Linked DNA regions of Arabidopsis thaliana. The protein of the gene in region 3 interacts with the protein of the main gene of each other region in a pairwise test. Each region holds a gene or a part of one and is shown on either strand. Other genes may lie near its edges. The genes, in order: ERF8, NIMIN-3, UNE16 and HAM3.

Evidence for each region.
Region 1: the proteins of UNE16 (region 3) and ERF8 interact in binary tests that used the Arabidopsis thaliana proteins (3 or more experiments, as listed by UniProt).
Region 2: the proteins of UNE16 (region 3) and NIMIN-3 interact in binary tests that used the Arabidopsis thaliana proteins (3 or more experiments, as listed by UniProt).
Region 4: the proteins of UNE16 (region 3) and HAM3 interact in binary tests that used the Arabidopsis thaliana proteins (3 or more experiments, as listed by UniProt).

Annotation. Positions count from the first base shown.
Region 1 is NC_003070.9:19,820,249-19,824,393, forward strand, and holds ERF8 (ethylene response factor 8), read right to left. Parts: upstream 2,005-4,145; 5' UTR 1,849-2,004; coding exon 1,291-1,848; 3' UTR 1,089-1,290; downstream 1-1,088.
Region 2 is NC_003070.9:3,036,574-3,040,799, forward strand, and holds NIMIN-3 (NIM1-interacting 3), read right to left. Parts: upstream 1,836-4,226; 5' UTR 1,676-1,835; coding exon 1,337-1,675; 3' UTR 1,181-1,336; downstream 1-1,180. Other genes in the region: AT1G09410 (pentatricopeptide (PPR) repeat-containing protein), read left to right, coding at 1-987; G6PD4 (glucose-6-phosphate dehydrogenase 4), read right to left, coding at 2,067-2,304, 2,398-2,598, 2,674-2,870, 2,941-3,097, 3,217-3,251, 3,351-3,459, 3,540-3,745, 3,877-3,991 and 1 more.
Region 3 is NC_003075.7:7,935,457-7,940,901, reverse strand, and holds UNE16 (Homeodomain-like superfamily protein), read left to right. Parts: upstream 1-2,256; 5' UTR 2,257-2,404; coding exon 2,405-2,588; intron 2,589-2,862; coding exon 2,863-2,939; intron 2,940-3,047; coding exon 3,048-3,102; intron 3,103-3,192; coding exon 3,193-3,271; intron 3,272-3,349; coding exon 3,350-3,419; intron 3,420-3,615; coding exon 3,616-4,038; 3' UTR 4,039-4,296; downstream 4,297-5,445. Other genes in the region: AT4G13650 (Pentatricopeptide repeat (PPR) superfamily protein), read left to right, coding at 1-1,291; AT4G13630 (zein-binding protein (Protein of unknown function, DUF593)), read left to right, coding at 4,873-5,422. UniProt on the Arabidopsis thaliana protein: Transcriptional activator. Probable component of the central regulatory system controlling transcriptional responses to Pi starvation. Binds in a sequence-specific manner to phosphate starvation-regulated promoters.
Region 4 is NC_003075.7:55,991-61,573, forward strand, and holds HAM3 (GRAS family transcription factor), read right to left. Parts: upstream 3,506-5,583; 5' UTR 3,116-3,505; coding exon 1,439-3,115; 3' UTR 1,150-1,438; downstream 1-1,149. UniProt on the Arabidopsis thaliana protein: Probable transcription factor involved in plant development.

The DNA.
Region 1 (4,145 bases), on a different chromosome or scaffold from region 3:
ATTTGTTTTCGTTATTTTACTAAAATCATACAGTCACAGTCACAGAGCTCATAAACAGAGGTTTGTGTAAACGCCGTTATCATAAACACCGCGCCAAACACCTCAGCCGACGTGTCGCAAACATTGTCCTGATGACGCCACACGTGGATCGGGCTTTCGGATCCTAGTATGGTAGCCTTCGGTCCAGCATTAAATTTGTAACGTAAAAAAGTTGCAATCGTCAATTGATATAAAACATCTACTTATGGGAGTGATCCATAGTTGTGCGTAGTGACATGACATGGGTGTATATTTGGTTGAGTGGGGCTAAATGTCGTTAAGATAAGGGCTTAATTGAAACTATTCAACTTTCTAGAGGCCCCAATTTTACATCCCTTTATTATAACCCTTAACACGATTTTGTACGCATGCATATATATATATTTTAAAACATACTAACTTCTTTAAAAAAATATGAAATAAGAATTTAAATTATGTTAAGCGTCCACGTGGTAACGATGACGATTCCAGCCGTTGGATCTGCGACCATAGAGCATAACTGTTTTATACGTTTTTTGATCACAAAGTTGGCGACAAGAATCAAAATCAAATCTCATCCTTCCTTTGTCTCTCATTATGAAGCCGCCGCTCTTCTTATCTTCAACTTCCTTAAAACATTTTTACCATTTCAAATCGAATACTATTCAACTTAAGCAAGACTCTTAACCATCTGTTAATAAATCATCGGAGTTAAAAGAGTTGATGCAAAACACAAAAGTCAAAAGTTAGAAAAGCAGTCCAAACTGTGAAAATGACGTAAGCGTAAAGAAGTATTCTTCTAACGTACGCCGCAGCCAGAGAAGATGGGTCCGGTCCTCCCACGATTGGTGCGTGTCTTCACGACACTTGGACCATTGTCTTTTCAAGCCGACGACGACGATACTCATCACTATATTTAGTCTTATAATAATAACATTACCATTCTTTATCTATTTCTTCTACACACGAGCCCCAAAAAGCTCTATAATACTTTATCTTTTCAATTACGAATTTACGATGATGCATTTCCTTGGCAAATACTAAAGAAAAAAAAAAAGCTTAAGATCCTCTTATGTTACGTCGATTTATAATAGGGTTTCATAATAATATATACATAACGACTTTTTTTTCACGGCAGCTAAAAATTATATTGGAGCTTTTCTACACTTTCTTCTAAAAAACGGATAATATTTTTTTCTTAGGCAGAAAAAAAAAGGAAACGTTATTTTTTTTTGTCTAAAGAAACGACATAAGAAAAAAAAAACTCACGGCCTATTCCGCCGGAGGAGCTAAGTTAAGATCCAGATCTAACGGCGGAGATATCTTCCCAGCTCCACCTTCGAAATCAACGACCGACGACGTTTCAGACTCGCTCTGGACACCACACGTCGTCATCTTTGGATACGTCGCCATGTTATAGTAGTAAACCGGATGCACAAGCGGGATCTTACGACGACACGCGCCGCCGCCGCCTAAGCTGAGCTCGAGGTGCGGAGGTGTTATAAACCGTGCCGCCGTGGGAGAGTCGACGACGGTGCTACTCTGAGTAGGACTACTACCAACGATAACACCGAAATTGGTCTTAGCCTTAACACCACGAAAGTCACGCGCGGCTGCGTCGTAAGCACGCGCCGCCTGCTGAGCGGTGTCGAACGTACCGAGCCAGACTCGAGTTTTCTTAACCGGATCTCGGATCTCAGCGGCGTATCTTCCCCATGGACGTTTCCTAACGCCTCTGTAACGAATCTCTTTGGCAGCATTACTCTCATGATGAGTCGGGTTCGTTGGAGCAACCGGGTCGGGTTTCAAACCCATGGTGATGTTGGGCATGGTGTAATTAGGAAGAAGAATGGAACGAGAAGATCGGTGAAAGAGTTTTGTGGTAACGAGAAGAAGTAGAAGAGCTTCTTTTTATAGGAGAGTAAAGCAACGCTCCTTTTGGGGAGCTTTCTTGTGAACAGTCAAAGCCATTTTGAGAGATGGTTTAATTATCTCTCTCTCATGCTTCTCTTATTTCATATAAAAACTGGTTTTTGTTATTATATCCACTTATGTTTTGCCACGTGTTCACTTCTCTTTCTCCAAAAGAATCTTATTTATTACCCTTTTTCACCTTTGTAACAAAGACTGCACAAATCACAATCTTATAAATTAAGTTACTGCCTATTAAGAATATAATATAATTTGGTTTTTGCTGCATTTATCCCTATTTAAACTAGGAACATATTTGTACTAAATCTATAAAACATGTTATATCGCCACTTTGCAATTTTAAGTAATTTTTCTTATTAAAGCAATGTAATATGCGGATTTAAATCTATATAATGACATAACAATAATACTAGTATACACTATTAAAGAGTGTTATTAGTTTGTGATTTAATTAAAGTTTTAGTAACTTAAAATATTATAAAGAATCTATTGTTATTCAATTAAAAAAATTTAAAATATTAAGATTTGTAAAAAATAATTTAAAATCTTGATAAATCTATAGTTATTGGATTTATACTTTTATAAAATTATTATAAATTTTATATTATTTAGCTAAAACAAAAGAATCTATAATTGTCAATGAATTAAATTATTGTGTTATTGGTTTATGATTTTCTACACTTTTTCCAAAATAAAGTTACGAAAAGTATCATTAAAAAAGAAAGATTGTTTGAGAAAATTTAGAAATTGTGAAAAACTAATCAACAAGATTATAGAAAACTCTATAATAATAGTTTAGAAACTTTCATTTCTTTACAATCTATGATTTTATCAGATTCTTGAATTTTTTTTAATTAATTAAGAACTAATAACACCCTTTTAAACTATATGTTTTAGTTAGGTCAAGATTTATATATATATATATATAATATAAACTATTGTGTGTGTATCTAGTAGAAAAAATATTCAAACAAAATTATCGAATTTGTAGTTATATATGTTGTTAACACATAAACAAAAAAAAAAAAATTTGTAAGAAAATATATAGCGAACAAAATTTCTGAATTTGTAAATTATATACCGTTACATATATATATCGTTAAAGTGTCGACAAAAAAATATTTCTTACTTTTCTGTTTGGTAAAAGTAAAAATTATTTGAAATTTGTAATTTAGCGGATGTTACCATGATGACAATATATAATTTAGCGGATGTTACCATGAAAGCTTATTTGGTATAAAGGGAATAGAATAAAAATTTGTACTTTAGTATACCGTTATTCCGTTATAAATGTCGTTAACGAGCCGACAAGAAAAAAAAAATCTATTATTTACATGCTTATATCTGGTGAAAAATAAATATTATCAAACAAAATGACCAAAATTTTATATTGTAGTGGATTTTATATATGACGATATCATGACGAACAACGCATATATACTATTTGTGTATTTATTTGGTAAACAAAATATTATCAAAATAAATTTTTAGATTTATAACTTAGTGAACTATTTTATATATCGTGTATATACAAAAAAGAAAGAGATATCTACTACTTGCATATGTACATTGGATTAAAAATGAACACCATCAAACAAATAGATTCGAATTTGTTAGTTCTGTGGAGAAAATATACGTTGTTACAGTGACGGAAAAAAATGTCGCTACAGTGACAACAATAAAAAGACAAATCTATTATTTACATGCATATTTGTTTTTGTTTTAAAGAATACTATGGAATATATATGTTGGCTTTTATAGTTTAAAAGACTTTTATATATGTTGTCTATCGTGTTACCAATGTATATATATGATTGTAGTTAGAGTAAAGTATAATATAATCTAGTCAAATAAACGCACAACAAAAACTTTTTTTTGCCAAATTCAAACTTAAATTGTAAAGTAATTTCTTGATTATCGCTCAAACCAAATGAGTATAATTTACAAAGCCAATGTCTTCAAAAAACATTTTGGCTAGACGGGCTAAAACATCTGATCTTAAATTCAATCGTCGAGGGATAAGAGAAAGGAGAAAAAAAAATCGTGAATGAAACATATCAATAAGATTGGAAAATACACTTTTCAGAATACTGTTATAACTTGATCAACTTAAAAATTCTGTCTCAAACTTTGAGGTGTTAGAATATTTACTAAACTTCTAAATCTAATATACTCAATAAGTTTTCAGTGTTATA
Region 2 (4,226 bases), on a different chromosome or scaffold from region 3:
AAATGCGGCGAGCTTGTGAAGTCTAAACTAATATTTGACAGGTTTCCTTCAAAGGACATTATCATGTGGAATTCAATCATATCTGGTTATGCCTCACACGGTCTTGGAGAGGAAGCATTAAAGGTTTTCTGTGAGATGCCTTTGTCTGGTAGTACTAAGCCTAACGAAGTCACCTTCGTTGCAACTCTCTCAGCATGTAGTTACGCTGGGATGGTTGAGGAAGGGCTTAAGATCTATGAATCTATGGAATCAGTTTTTGGGGTTAAGCCAATCACCGCGCATTATGCTTGCATGGTAGATATGCTTGGGCGTGCAGGACGGTTTAATGAGGCAATGGAAATGATTGATAGTATGACTGTCGAACCAGATGCTGCAGTTTGGGGTTCTCTATTAGGAGCGTGCAGAACTCACTCGCAGCTGGATGTGGCAGAATTTTGTGCGAAGAAACTCATAGAGATTGAACCGGAGAATTCTGGGACTTACATCTTGCTCTCCAACATGTATGCATCTCAAGGTAGGTGGGCTGACGTTGCAGAACTGAGAAAACTTATGAAGACTAGGTTGGTAAGAAAATCACCAGGTTGTAGCTGGACTGAAGTCGAGAACAAGGTGCATGCATTCACTCGTGGGGGTATTAATAGCCATCCCGAGCAGGAATCTATTTTGAAGATACTGGATGAATTGGATGGGTTATTGAGAGAAGCCGGGTATAATCCTGATTGCAGCTATGCATTGCACGATGTAGACGAGGAAGAGAAAGTCAATAGCCTGAAATATCATAGCGAGAGACTAGCGGTAGCTTATGCTCTTTTAAAGCTATCTGAAGGAATACCCATCCGAGTCATGAAGAACCTTAGAGTTTGTAGTGATTGCCACACAGCAATAAAAATAATCTCTAAGGTGAAAGAGAGGGAGATCATTCTAAGAGATGCAAACAGATTCCATCACTTCAGAAACGGAGAGTGTTCCTGTAAAGATTACTGGTGAGATTCAATAAATGCCAAGCAGAATGTTTTTTTTTAATCTTAGGCTTAGCTATCAATCCTCGTTGGAGCGTTGGCAAAATGGAGTAATTCTCGCAAACCATAGGAACTTGCTCAGCCATTGATGAGAGTTCTCTCTAAGTTCTTCTGCTAATATATATATATTTTTTTACTGATCTTGTTATCAATGTGCATTTGTAGCATTTTCTTCAATATGGTTAATAAGAAGTGATGAACAATCTTCAAGCAAAACTAGAATTCCATGACACATTTGTTTTTGGTACGTAGTTACTAACATTCTTTGTTGCTTATACAGAAACTGAAGAGCTCTTTGTCTCTTGTATGTATGTATGCTACAGAGAAAGATTCAAGTCTAAACAAACGTTAGTCTCAGATCCTTCTTGCTTTTCCTTAGAGCCATCATACTCGTTGGATGCTGAAGAGCTCTCATTAGCTGCTTTTTCAATGTTGTTGGCCTCTGCTTTATTCATGAAAATGAAATCTTCTGGCTGAAACGAAGGGAATCTACGAACCCTTGCTCTTTCTTCTTCTTCCTGTCTCTTCTTCTCCATGGAGCTGTTGACATATTTCCGCATTTCCCTTGCGTTTTTAAGCACTGTGTACAACTTCTCCATCTTTTCTTCTTCGTCATCTTCCTTCTCCATTTTCACCCTCTTTCTGTCTCTGTCCATTGAACCGCTCTCTCTTCCTTCCCCTATGAAAATGTTTCTCTTTAGTTACATCATTTTCATCCTACTTTGATCATCAACACATGATACATCTGGAAGAATTTTCTGGAGGAATTGGTGGAGAAGATATAATTATTGCCTCTAGTGGGAAGACTAACAACATGACCTTATCTAAAAGTCTCTCAGACTTTCTTCTTTCCTTTGGGTGGCTTTGGAGACTTTTCAACACTATTATGGACCCCACCATGATGGACATTCATATAGCAACATGACATACATGTGTACATATGTACAGTCTACAGGGAATGGCACAGCTTCAAGCTAAACAAACACACTTCACAATAACCATTCAGAATCACTCTCATTTGTTTGTTGCTGCATCTATGTTTCTTCTTCAGTCATCTGCCCATGGGACACCGTGCTTGGCCCAAAGATAGTATGCCGCAACTGGTCCTCGTCCACCAAATTCATACAACTCCGGAGCTGTGTGATGCTTGTCTATCTCTTCTAGAACCGGACTAAGAATGTTCCATGCTGCTGCAACCTCATCGCTTCTCATGAACAGATGATTGTCTCCGTCAATTACATCATGAATTAGGTGTTCATATGAGTCTGGTACTTCGGTTTTATACCTACAGGTTTGATCCAACAATTCAACCAACCATAAGGCGCAAAAGTTCGATTTTTAAAATGTGTAGGAACAAAGATGAGAATGCAAAACTTGCCTGTCTTTATAGAGCAAGTTAAGTTCAGAAGCGTCTAGCTGAAGACCTAAACCAGGAACCTTGTTGTTGATTTTCACCAGGATGGCCTCATCAGGTTCGTCACGTAGAATAAGCTCATTTGTCCCCAAATCTATGTTTATTCCAATATTTTCTCGGTATAGGTTTCCAGGAACATGCCGGAATTGCACATGAATCTCCACTCTTTCAACATTAAGGCACACCAATCAATTGTTATGACAGTTGGATATGTCTATGAGTAGGAATAATTATTCTTACCTGTGTTTAATGAGGCCAGTGCCAACTCTTACAAGGAAAGGTACACCATCCCAACGTGCATTATCAATATACAAGGCTGCTGCACAATATGTAGGGTCTACACCGTTCAAGATCACACCGTTCTTGTCTCGGGAACTGGATTTATACTGGCCAAGGATGACATCACGCGGGTCTATCTTGCGAATTGATCTTAAAACCTTCACCTGCAGAAGCAGGTTTGTCACCAAGTCACTTGACAGAACAAGAGTACACAACTTACATATATACCATAAGACGATTTTGTTCTTTACAGTACAGGTTGACCTTTTCATTTCGGATATCTTCACCATCGAGACTTATCGGAGGTTCCATGGCAAGTAATGCGATTGTCTGAAGTATATGGCTGTGCACTATGTCCCGTATTATTCCATATCCATCAGAAAACCTTAAAAAAAGCAGTAGGAAATTAGAAAATAACATTACTGATTTGTCTAAGAATGCTGAAACAACACAATTTACTCTCACATGCAAAGAAATGGTGAAAATAGAACTATTGTGCCTTACTTTTCTGTTTGCGCAATTGATTCTGATATAATAACCTGGAAACATCATTTATACACAAAGTGAACAAACCAGAATGTGGAAGAGGAAAGTTCAGGCACTATACACAACTACAAACAATCAGAAGGAAACACTACCTGTATATTGCGTATGTATGTTCTGTTCCATAGTGGTTCAAAAACTAGATTTGAAAACCTTAACACTGTCAGATTTTCAATGAGGTTTCTTCCTAACATGTGATCTATCCTGTAACGGGCACAGAAGTGTGAAGAAATATGAACTTGAGAGCTGTGCATGCAGAAAGCAACTAGATTTAAAAGAAGGACCTGTAGATTTGCTTCTCTTCAAACTTAGAGAGAAGTGACTTTGTTAACTGATGAGACGAATGTGAGTTAAAACCAAAAGGTTTCTCAACTATTATTCGAGTCCAGCCTCGTGGTGCCTGAGCGTTATCTCCAATGGTGCATGCCACATCCACCAGAGCTTCTTGAGGTACTGAGAGGTAAAAGATTCTATTTGCTTCTGATTCTCCCTGAAGAAGAAAAGCTGTTAATGTCTTATTCTATCTTGCTTGTCTGTTCAAAATGTTGTAAACTCAGAAAGAGGACTACTTCTGGGACAAAATGTAATCATTGAAAGAAAGAAAAAAAGGTACTTAGGAACCTCAATCTGTTTCATTCTCTCGGCAAGTCGGGACATCCCATCCCTGTTATTATAACCTCCATTGATATAGTATGTTCTACTCTGAAATGCATCCATCTTGCCCCCACAATTCTCCCTGAACATTTAGCATCATTCTTTAGCTAGCACGGCCGTATATCAGAGATACCAAATTTAAGGTAGTACCAAGAATTATACATACTGATGATCAACACGGCAAGTCAGCGTTGATGCAATGATGGATCTGAGGTCTTCATCTGTCAGATTCTTTCTTGAAACCCCAAATATAGCAACATCCTGTGACAATGAAGACCAATCAAGAAGACAACCGAAAAAAACTATCCAACTGTTTT
Region 3 (5,445 bases):
TTATTCTAGATGCGGAAAAATAGAGGAATCGTATTTAGCGTTTGAACAAACTGAAGCTGGAGATAATATAGCATGGAATGCTCTGGTATCCGGATTTCAGCAGAGTGGAAACAATGAAGAAGCACTTCGTGTCTTCGTTCGAATGAACAGAGAAGGAATTGACAATAATAATTTCACGTTTGGGTCTGCTGTGAAAGCTGCTTCTGAGACAGCTAACATGAAACAAGGGAAGCAGGTTCATGCTGTGATCACCAAAACCGGATACGATTCAGAAACCGAAGTTTGCAATGCTTTAATCTCTATGTATGCCAAGTGTGGGAGCATTTCTGATGCAGAGAAGCAGTTCCTTGAAGTCTCCACGAAAAATGAAGTTTCGTGGAATGCGATAATTAATGCTTATTCTAAACATGGGTTTGGTTCTGAAGCACTAGATTCTTTTGACCAGATGATACATTCTAATGTAAGGCCTAATCATGTGACGCTTGTGGGAGTTCTATCAGCATGTAGCCACATAGGACTAGTGGACAAGGGGATTGCATACTTTGAATCCATGAATTCAGAATATGGATTATCTCCTAAACCGGAACACTATGTGTGTGTAGTGGATATGCTAACTCGAGCTGGTCTTTTGAGCCGTGCGAAAGAGTTCATTCAGGAAATGCCTATTAAGCCAGATGCCTTGGTCTGGAGAACACTTTTGAGTGCTTGTGTAGTGCACAAGAACATGGAAATAGGAGAATTTGCAGCGCATCATCTCCTAGAGTTAGAACCTGAAGACTCAGCAACATATGTTCTTCTGTCAAATCTGTATGCGGTGTCCAAGAAATGGGATGCTAGGGATCTTACAAGACAAAAGATGAAAGAAAAGGGTGTGAAGAAAGAACCGGGACAAAGTTGGATTGAAGTTAAAAACTCAATTCACTCTTTCTATGTTGGTGACCAGAATCACCCGTTAGCAGATGAGATACATGAATACTTCCAAGATCTTACCAAACGAGCATCTGAAATCGGGTATGTGCAAGACTGTTTCAGCCTATTGAATGAACTGCAGCACGAGCAAAAAGATCCAATAATTTTCATCCACAGCGAGAAATTAGCAATTTCATTTGGACTCCTTAGCTTGCCTGCAACAGTGCCTATAAATGTAATGAAGAACCTACGTGTTTGCAACGATTGCCATGCTTGGATAAAGTTTGTATCTAAGGTATCAAATCGAGAAATCATAGTGAGGGATGCATATAGGTTTCATCATTTTGAAGGAGGTGCTTGCTCTTGTAAAGATTACTGGTAAGAGCCAAAGCCTGGTAGCTCACTCGCCTCTTTTGGGAAGGTTAAGTCTGTGTTCCAAAGTTCGAGCTCTGGTTCTCGCTCAAAGAAGGAGATCATGGACCAAACCTTACGGGTAAGCTGAATTCTCAGCAATGATATGATACTAGACGATATACTTGAGCAAAGAGTATTATCCTGAAGGAAAGAATAGTCACATGACTGTTCTTGAGGAAAAGTTGGAGTTGATGCAGGAGTTGATCATGAGCAAAGGAGACCATCGATGACTTAACAAAACGAACCACTCCTTTGTTTCTACTACCATTGCTAAGTAACTATCACTATCTTTCATACCCCATCCTTTTTTAGGGGCTTATATATGTGTACATATTACATATATACGTGCATCTATGGCTTTAAAATTGATGAATTGTAGATTAAGAGAAAGTGTCTCAAAATAAAGATTCTATGTTGCCAAGAAACAGAGTCTCTCTTTATGCATATGAATGATTGATGTGCTTCTGATTTCTTAATGTTTTATGTGGCTGAATTTGGAAACTGCTATTACATAAACAAATTTTGTCAATAGTAATATAAAAATTAAAAAACTAAAGCTAAAGAATACTTTTTTTCTCTTGAATTATATAAAAGAAAAATAATTGGAAAAATGTCTAGTAGGTTTAAAGGATTTGATATTTAAAAAAAAATTGAGGACCCTATTTTTTTCTTTTTTCATTTGGTTTATTTTAGCAGTTAGCACCATCTTAAGATAGAGAACTTGAAGTTTTATTCTGCTATTGAAAAACGAAAATAATAACTAAAAGAAATTTTATCTTACTACTTTTTCAAAACATATATGTTATTTGGAATTTCAATGCAAAGAGTACAAATAACCAAAACATAAATTCTGCTCTCTCTTTTTTTTTTTTTGAAAATATCTAAATAAATTCAATAATGCACAAATATAAACACAAAATACTATCCGAGTGTTGTCTTGTCCAATCTATCAACTCGTTTCTTCGCTGTCTTAGAAATCCACAATATCTTTCTTCACACTTTCTTTCACTTTCCCGGGAAAACAGCCGAGAAAATAAAAGAAACGAAGAAAAGTTTGTTCCTTTGTGGGGATCAAAGAAGAATGTACTCGGCGATTCGGTCTTCGCTTCCTCTAGATGGCAGCTTGGGAGACTACTCTGACGGAACCAATCTTCCCATCGACGCTTGTCTGGTCCTAACCACTGACCCCAAGCCTCGCCTTCGTTGGACCTCTGAGCTCCATGAAAGATTCGTTGACGCCGTCACTCAGCTCGGCGGACCCGACAGTAAGTGTCCCTTCTTAGAAATTTATGGATCTTAGAATGAAATGTGTTTTTTTTTTTAATCTGTTGTTCTTCAGTTAGTACGAAGAATTTGACAACGAGTTAGGTCTAATTTCTTTCAGATTTGGAAGTCAATCATCCTGAAATAGAATGGATTTCTTGGGTTTATGTCACTTAGAACAATTTAGGAATTACTGTGGCATTCTTTAGGTTTTTTTTATTGGCCTTGAGATTTGTTTACAAGATTAGTTTTTTTGTGTGTTTGGTTTGATGTCAGAAGCAACGCCTAAAACTATAATGAGAACAATGGGAGTGAAGGGTCTCACTCTTTACCATCTCAAATCTCATCTTCAGGTTTTGATGCTACTACCTTCAATATCAAATTATGCTTCTTTGGCTACTTATAACAAACAAAGTTCATTGCTTTTTGACTGTGTTGTTCTCTGGTTTTTTGCTCGGTAGAAATTCCGCTTGGGGAGGCAATCTTGTAAAGAATCAATTGACAACTCTAAGGATGGTATTCAGTTATATCTTTAGCTAAGAATCCATTTATATCTTTATGGATTCAGTTGTGCATTTATATCTTTGTGAACTTATATCTCTGTAGTTTCTTGTGTTGCGGAGAGTCAGGACACTGGTTCATCTTCAACATCATCCTTAAGATTGGCTGCTCAAGAACAGAACGAGTATGGTTTCAAGTGTTCTCTTTATTCCAAGTGTTATATTCACTGTCTATAACACTCATTGTTTTTGTCTTGAGCCAGGAGTTACCAGGTCACTGAAGCTTTGCGTGCCCAGATGGAAGTCCAAAGAAGACTACACGAGCAACTAGAGGTTAGTTTCTTCTTCGAATTCACCAAATACCAGAGAGACTTTGGTTAATGAGAGACTATATAGAAACCTCCATTGAATTTCCTTAAAGCTTATCAGAACGTTACTACTTAGGAAATCTTTTCATGAAAGTTAGAACCATAGAAACCGCATATACTAATGTTTGAGCCCTGGTTCCACATTTAATAAGATCCATTAGTATACGCAGGTGCAAAGGCGACTCCAGTTAAGGATCGAGGCACAAGGGAAGTACCTGCAATCAATTCTAGAGAAAGCTTGCAAGGCTATAGAGGAGCAAGCTGTTGCATTTGCTGGGTTAGAGGCAGCTAGAGAAGAGCTTTCAGAGCTAGCCATAAAGGCCTCCATCACCAATGGGTGCCAAGGAACAACAAGCACCTTCGACACAACCAAAATGATGATTCCATCCTTATCCGAGCTTGCAGTAGCAATAGAGCACAAGAACAACTGTTCAGCAGAGAGCTCTCTGACTTCCAGCACTGTAGGAAGTCCGGTATCAGCTGCGTTGATGAAGAAGAGACAACGAGGAGTGTTTGGAAATGGAGATAGTGTGGTTGTTGGTCATGATGCTGGATGGGTTATGCCTAGTAGTAGCATTGGATGAAGTTAGCAAGAGAGAGAGAGAGAGCGAGACCAGATTTTAGCTTATTTAATTTTGCTATGTTGTATTTAACTCTAAACTCTGTCATCAAACTTGTCTTAGCGTCTATGTATATATTTGTTGAATCTGTAGCCTCTCTTTTAGTTTGTGTATTTGCTTCAACTTTTTCTAAGCTTGCCTTCTTTTTTCTTTTTTGGACAAACCTAAATATAGAATTTATGTAATTGTATAACATAAAAAATACTCATTAAATACTCATAACTTATCTCCATGCTATAGATTGGATCTTGTCTACAAATTAGTTGGCACACATTTGCGTAAATGCACAAATTTGATTACGTGTGTAAAATAAAATGTCAAAGAAAAAAAAAAAAATCTCAAGAGGAAGAGAGTGATGGGGTCGGCGATAAAATGACGGCGTATCTGCTCACTCGTACGGTGATTTGCAACTGAAGTTTTGAAAACTAAAAAAGAAGTTTTGATTTTTGAACAAAGAGAGAAAATAAAAACGGCAGAGGAAGAGCCGTTTACGTTGTGCTTGCTTCCCCAAGATTTCTCAACTTCTTCTTCTTCGTGTGAGTTTCAATTCTCTAATTTACTAAAAATTAATCAAATCGCAAGGAGTTTCTCTGTGTTAACGATTGATTCATCGTTGAGTTTTCTCTGTGGTAACGATTGTGTTTATATATAATTTGATTGATTGATTGATTAACTTACCAAATTAGTCTTAGATTTGGATATATGCTTGTAATTGATTCAAATAACAATTTGATTCTCTAACCAATTTCTCAAACTTTGAGTAATTTCTGTAGATTATTGTATACTTGCAGGTATAAAATGCGTTGCCAGGAGGTAAAATCATGGACATTTAAAGGTTTAGTGGCTGCGTTTATCGATCTTTCCGTTGCGTTTTCGCTACTTTGCGCATCGTTTATCGTTTATGTAACATCGAAGTTCCTCGGTTTATTTGGTTTAGACCTACCATGTCCTTGTGATGGTCTATACAGTGAGTGTTTTCAAGAGAGTTTAAGGAATCTTCCGGTTAAAAAGATCTCTTCTGTTCAAAGATCTGTTAAAAATAGAACACCTTTTGATTCAATTCTGTATAATGGTGGAAAGAAGAGAAAATGTGAGCGTAGACGTGTTCAGTTGGAAGATGAGGTATCTAGTACTACTCCTTCTGTTGGAAAGTTTGAGAATAAGGCTTCAGGGTTCGATCTTTTAACTGCGCAAAGTTTGAAAAAAGGAAGCTTTAAAGTTAAGAGTAAGCGGCTTAGCTTCCATAGGTCGCCGTATGGTTTCAAGAACCATTACCAAAGTTGTTTAGGCCTTAAGAGCTTTGAGGGATCATATGATGAAAATGATCCTCTTCTTGTGAACTCCAATGGTAAGTTTTTTTGTTGTCTTTAT
Region 4 (5,583 bases), 7.9 Mb from region 3:
GAAATACTTTACACTCACGTATGTATATTAAATGATGGAATACGTGAGTGTAAAGTAGAGTAGTTCTAATAGTATTTATCAGTGATTGATTACATCAATTTTAATTCTAATAGTATTTGCTAGACCTCGCCTGGACCGGTCAATGTTTCTACTTACTGCGCTCATCAAACGGTTACCATTTGAATCTAGACATGTGATATATGATGAGTGACTACGTCGGCGCGTCTTAGTGGAGCCGAGCCTGCGTGACCCAGGCCTTGCTTGTTGCGTGACTAGCTTATGTTCACGTAGGCATGTTACAAATCAATACACACATTAGTTGACAAAAACTGACCGTTGATTTGGTTGATCATCTCTCACAGGGAAACGACACATGTGTTTCTGCCGTACACGTGTAGATTGACCGATCACGACCGGTCTTCTGCTTGAGGACACGGCTTATGATCTGTCAAAACTAAACTATTCACATTCAATCAAATGTGTCTGTATCCAACCAACGTTTATTGCACAAGAGACAATAACTTGCGGCATATTGTCATTTTTCACTCACAAATTTTAGTCGTCTTTCTCCATTTAATCAACTCTTGATATGTTTCTAAAACGGAAATCTTTTGTAATGCTTAATTAGGACCTTAGATGTTTGAATATATATTTTAAATAATTATCCTAAATGATGTTTTAATATAAAGAGTAAACCAAAATATGTTGGTTTGTATTACTTAGATTAGCTTGTAATCTTTTTATTGAAATGAAATCTTCACATTAAAACCCCAAAAAAAACATGTTGATGTATTGTATACACTTGGTTTGTTTCTGAAATATTTCTATAGAGAAATGCAGTTAATGCGTAAAGCAAATGGGCGCATTATATATGTAATGCGTATGGACCATTTAAAGGAGAAAAAGCAAACCTTTGTTTCGTCGGAGAAAAAAAAAGGTTAGAAACGGCGCACACAAAAATGTATTGTGGTCCAAATAAATAAAATAATACAAGACCCATGTGACATCATGGAGACATATGTTTATAAATTAAAAATAGACCCCTCGCAAAGACACAAACCACAACAAACTCTAACCATTATATAATCATATAATCACAATAATGAGCAGTAGCTTTCTGCCTCGCATCAAAATCAACACCCCATTCATTTTTAATTAGAAAAATATAGTATTGAGCTAATCCAAGCATTATTCTATCACGTTATTTAGTCGATCAAAAATAATCCCCACAATTAATATATATTGAATGTGTTATACAATAAGTGTTTGATAATCAGACAATTAATTAACTTCTCACAAAAATTTATATATTTGTGTGAAACTTAAATTTAAAAATCCATCGCACTGAGCAAAATAAAATCAGAAACTAAAAATTTGTCATTTAAGATAAATTGAATTAAGGAAAATATTTTTTTAATAATTGAAACTCCGGTGGAAATCAGGAGGAGCGACATCTCCATGCTGAAACTCCGACGAGTTCTGTCCTTTGCCAACATAGGAGAAGTGAGTTATGTTTCTTCTCGACGTGAAAGCCTCTCACTGGCGTCCGTTGGACTAAACACTCGGCTTGAGACTCCGTGAAGTTACTGTGCGTCACCGGTGAGAAACCCATCTGTAGAAACATCGCTTGCCACGTCATCATCGGCCTTTCTATCGGACGGCTACGATCCAACACCAGCTTCTCTATCTCCGGCTGTATAAGAAACCTCTCGATCTTCTGCATTGCGTCGAGGTTGGCGTTGACGGCGTCGAGGGATTCGAAGAGAGCGGTGTGTGAGTGCAGCGAGTGGGCGAGCTGTTGAGAGAAGGGCAGATCCGTCCTCTCGCATCCTCTGTCGGAGCAGACGATGATCGTCGGAGATAGATGCTTCACGAAACGGAGGACCAAAGGGAGGTGCGAGAAGGACGCGGCGGAGATGTTAACGGCGACAGCTTCTTTCTCCGACGAGTTAGGCCACGAGATGGAGCCGAGGAGGTCTAAGCTCAAAACTTGGATGTCAAGGGAGATGTTGATCTCAGAGGCGAAGTGCTTGAGGTTGTCTTGAGTGAAGCCAAGTTCGAGCTGGTCGTGGTTCGCCGGAGAAGCGAAAACGGTGATCTTGAGGGAGAGAGGAGCGGCGTTGTCGCGGAGAACAAGCTCTTGCATGAGGGAAGCCCATTGGCCACCGTAGCCGATATCGAAGTCGATGATGTGGAGACGGTGGAAGCCATGGAAGGACTCTAAGAGGGCTTGGTTGGAGGTAAAGTTGGCGAACTGAAGAACGGGAGAGATCTCTGAGAAGGATTTGTAAGCAGCGATCTTGAAGATGAGGGAATAAGGGTTTAGGGTTTGGGAGACGTTGTGAAGGAGATTATTGAGAGCTTCTTTGAAGTAAAAAGCTGCTCTTTCTAATGGCTTCCCGACGGGAGAAGAGAGCTGTTGATTGAGCCGCGCCAATATCCCCTGAGCTAGACACGTGTCGCTCTCTATGACCTCTGCTGCCTTAACCAGCTGCTCTGTTATCCCCACGGGACCAGGGTTGAGCCGCTTTGCCGGCGGAGGTGTATGGTGGTGGTGGCCGTAGAAGATAGCCGCAGGATTCTGTGTGTAGTGGGTTTGACTTTGGTTGATCAGAAGACCGGAAACATGTGACGGCGGAACAGAGTGGTGGTCTAAACCGAAGCCGGTGTCGACGACTCCGAAACCGGGTGATGAGTAGTCAGAGTCGTGGAAGGTGGGAGATGTTTGGAGAATGCTGTTGAGTTCAAGAGAGGGATCTGTGGAATCTCCCATGATGAGTCCGAGAATGCTCTGTTCGTGGTCATGAGGAACTTGCTCCTCCCAATCACCCAACCCAATGGCTCCGCATTGCTCATCGGTGGTGGCGTCGCCGCCGCCTCCGACGGCGCTGTTTCCGCCGTGAGAGGAAGACACCGTGGAGGAAGAGGTTGGGCTTATGAGGGAGTCCAGAACAGAGGTAGGCTCCGCCGCGGGAACTTCTTCCTCTTCTTCTTCGCCGCCTCTTGCTTTGCGGTGGCTCAAAAGCGGAGACGACGGTGGTTGGGGGAAGGAAGACGAGAAAGAAGAGAAACAAGAAATCCCCTTCCCTTGAAACTCTTCAAAGGGTAAGGGCATTGCAGACGATAAAAAATAGTGTATTTGTCTTCTTGAAGCTCTTCTTCTTCTTCTTCTTCTTCGTTGTTGTGATGTGGTGTGGTGAGGTATATTGGATGCGTGCAAGATATTAAAGTGGCAAAGTGGGCTTCCTCCTTTCTTTTTCTCTCTTATTTCCGTTTCCTATCATTTTGCCTTTGTCATTAACTTAGCTGATTAAACAATTCATCAGCTTCTCTTACACAACATTTTGTTAATCTTTGCTTTCTAATCTTAACTATGTCTTCTATTACAACCCCACTCTTACATCACGCGCGTGGCTTGCAAACTCCTTTCAGTGACATGAACATGATGGTAAACAAAAATACTAAATGTTATGATATATTTTTAAATATTGTATTTGTCTTCTTGAATTACTAGAAACTATTAAAAAAAAAAAACATTTTCCCCATATTTTTGATGTTGTACTGTATATTTAGATGTCATAATACTTGCCCAAAAAAAAAAAAGGATGTCATAATATATTGGGAATGTTTTTGTTTTCTTATAATTTATTTTCATGATTAAAACTTTGTGGCTTGCAAACTATATTTGGGATATTGTTTTGTTTTGTTTTATCTCAAAGGTGCTGTCGTTATTTCCTTTTGTGTGATCTTTGTCCCCAATAGTTTGTTTTAGGGTTTGGACAAGCTTTTGGATCATCTTTATCAAATTAACCACTCAAATCACCCAATCCATTGTACGAGCTAAACCACATATTGCAGTGCTTATATTAATTTGTGTTTCCTTTTTTTTTTTTTTTTTGCTACGGACATAATCTAAATTTATAAATCTAAACAAAGTGGAAACAAAAACTATGTATATATTGGAGTTACATCAAAAATATCTGTTTTGTTTTTCTTGTTTTAACTTAACGAGATACGAATGATCGTCATTATCTGAAACATTCATGTACTACTTATAACAAAGAAGGAGTTATATATATATTTACGTGTATATAAAAACATACTTTCTTTGGTACATCTTTTCGTTTGAAGGAAAAAAGTGATTGAAGATCTGTGAATGATGTTTCTTCTGTGACAAGTTAAATGCACGAGAGATTGAGAAAGAACGAGTGGTAGTCCTTTATTGAGCAGACAATGGAAGTCACCAATCACCATATATATACATATATAAATATATCTACCAATGGAAAACCCTATAATAAATAAATGAATAAAGCAATCAGAAAAAACAACAAGAAAGAGAGGTGGGTAATTGATGAAGACAGATTAAAATCGGACCAATTTTGCAATGAATGGCGACAGTTTCATTATCATGTATTCATGATAATGAAAAAGCATTTACTTTTCTATGCAAACCAATTCATTAGTATAAACAATATCAAAGAAAAAAAAAAAAGTATAAACAATATCAGATTCTGAATCTATCTTTTATATGCGAATTATGACCGCACAAAAAAACACAGAGTTCAGTTTCTTGTATAGTAATTTTTAGTCCCATATTATAATACTTGTTAAGTACCATAAATATTTGATGATTATTGATAGTTAACTTACTTTATATAACAACAAAAAGTTAAAATGTTCATTTTTAAGATTTAATTAGTTTATATGTTCCCATGTGATTTGCTAACAACTACTTCTCACACTTTTCTTTCTTATACAAAATTATTATAAATCTTGAAATGATCGCGAAACTGTATTAATATTATTTCTTATTGACATACATAATACACCAACACATTTTCAAGTTTCATGATATATTAATATAATATTTGGTATATTGGAATACTAAATATATGTGTGTGTTAACTTCGTGAGGGTGAAGTAAGTTACGTGGTGAAAACATGTTCTTTTCTCTCGTCTCAAGGCACCCTTCATCACAAGCAACACACCCAACCCCACTCAATCGGATAGTTCGTATGATGAACAGAATCGTGCTTTGCCATAATTAGAGGAAGAAACAAGTCAGCTAAATATATTAATCTTGTCAAACAATAATTTATATTGAAGGATAACGTGTTAGAGTTTGTATGCATGTAACCATATATAAATGATTGCGTCGTTCATTTTGTATTAGATTTTAGGATGATGATTAGTTAGATTAGACAAAAATTGATCAATTATTATTAGGAGATCACATGGGACTGATAAGGATAAAGAAAAATAGAGAAGATTTCTTCATCTCATTAGAGCCAAAGTAATAATAATTATGATTAAAAAAAAAAAACCAAGATCGGCGGGAAGTAATTAACAATTACCACAATATAAAGTTGGTAAAGGAATTTCCTTATTTCTTTAATCATATACATTTCCTTAAACATAATCTAACTCTCATTTGATCATTGACAACACATTACTATGATTCGACAACAACAACAAAAAAAAAAAAAAAAATTACTATGATCGAATGACACTCCAAAATACAGAAGTCTCTTAGAGCATTTCTAACGGAGAAAGTCCCTCCATGGGTGATGCAACGCATCT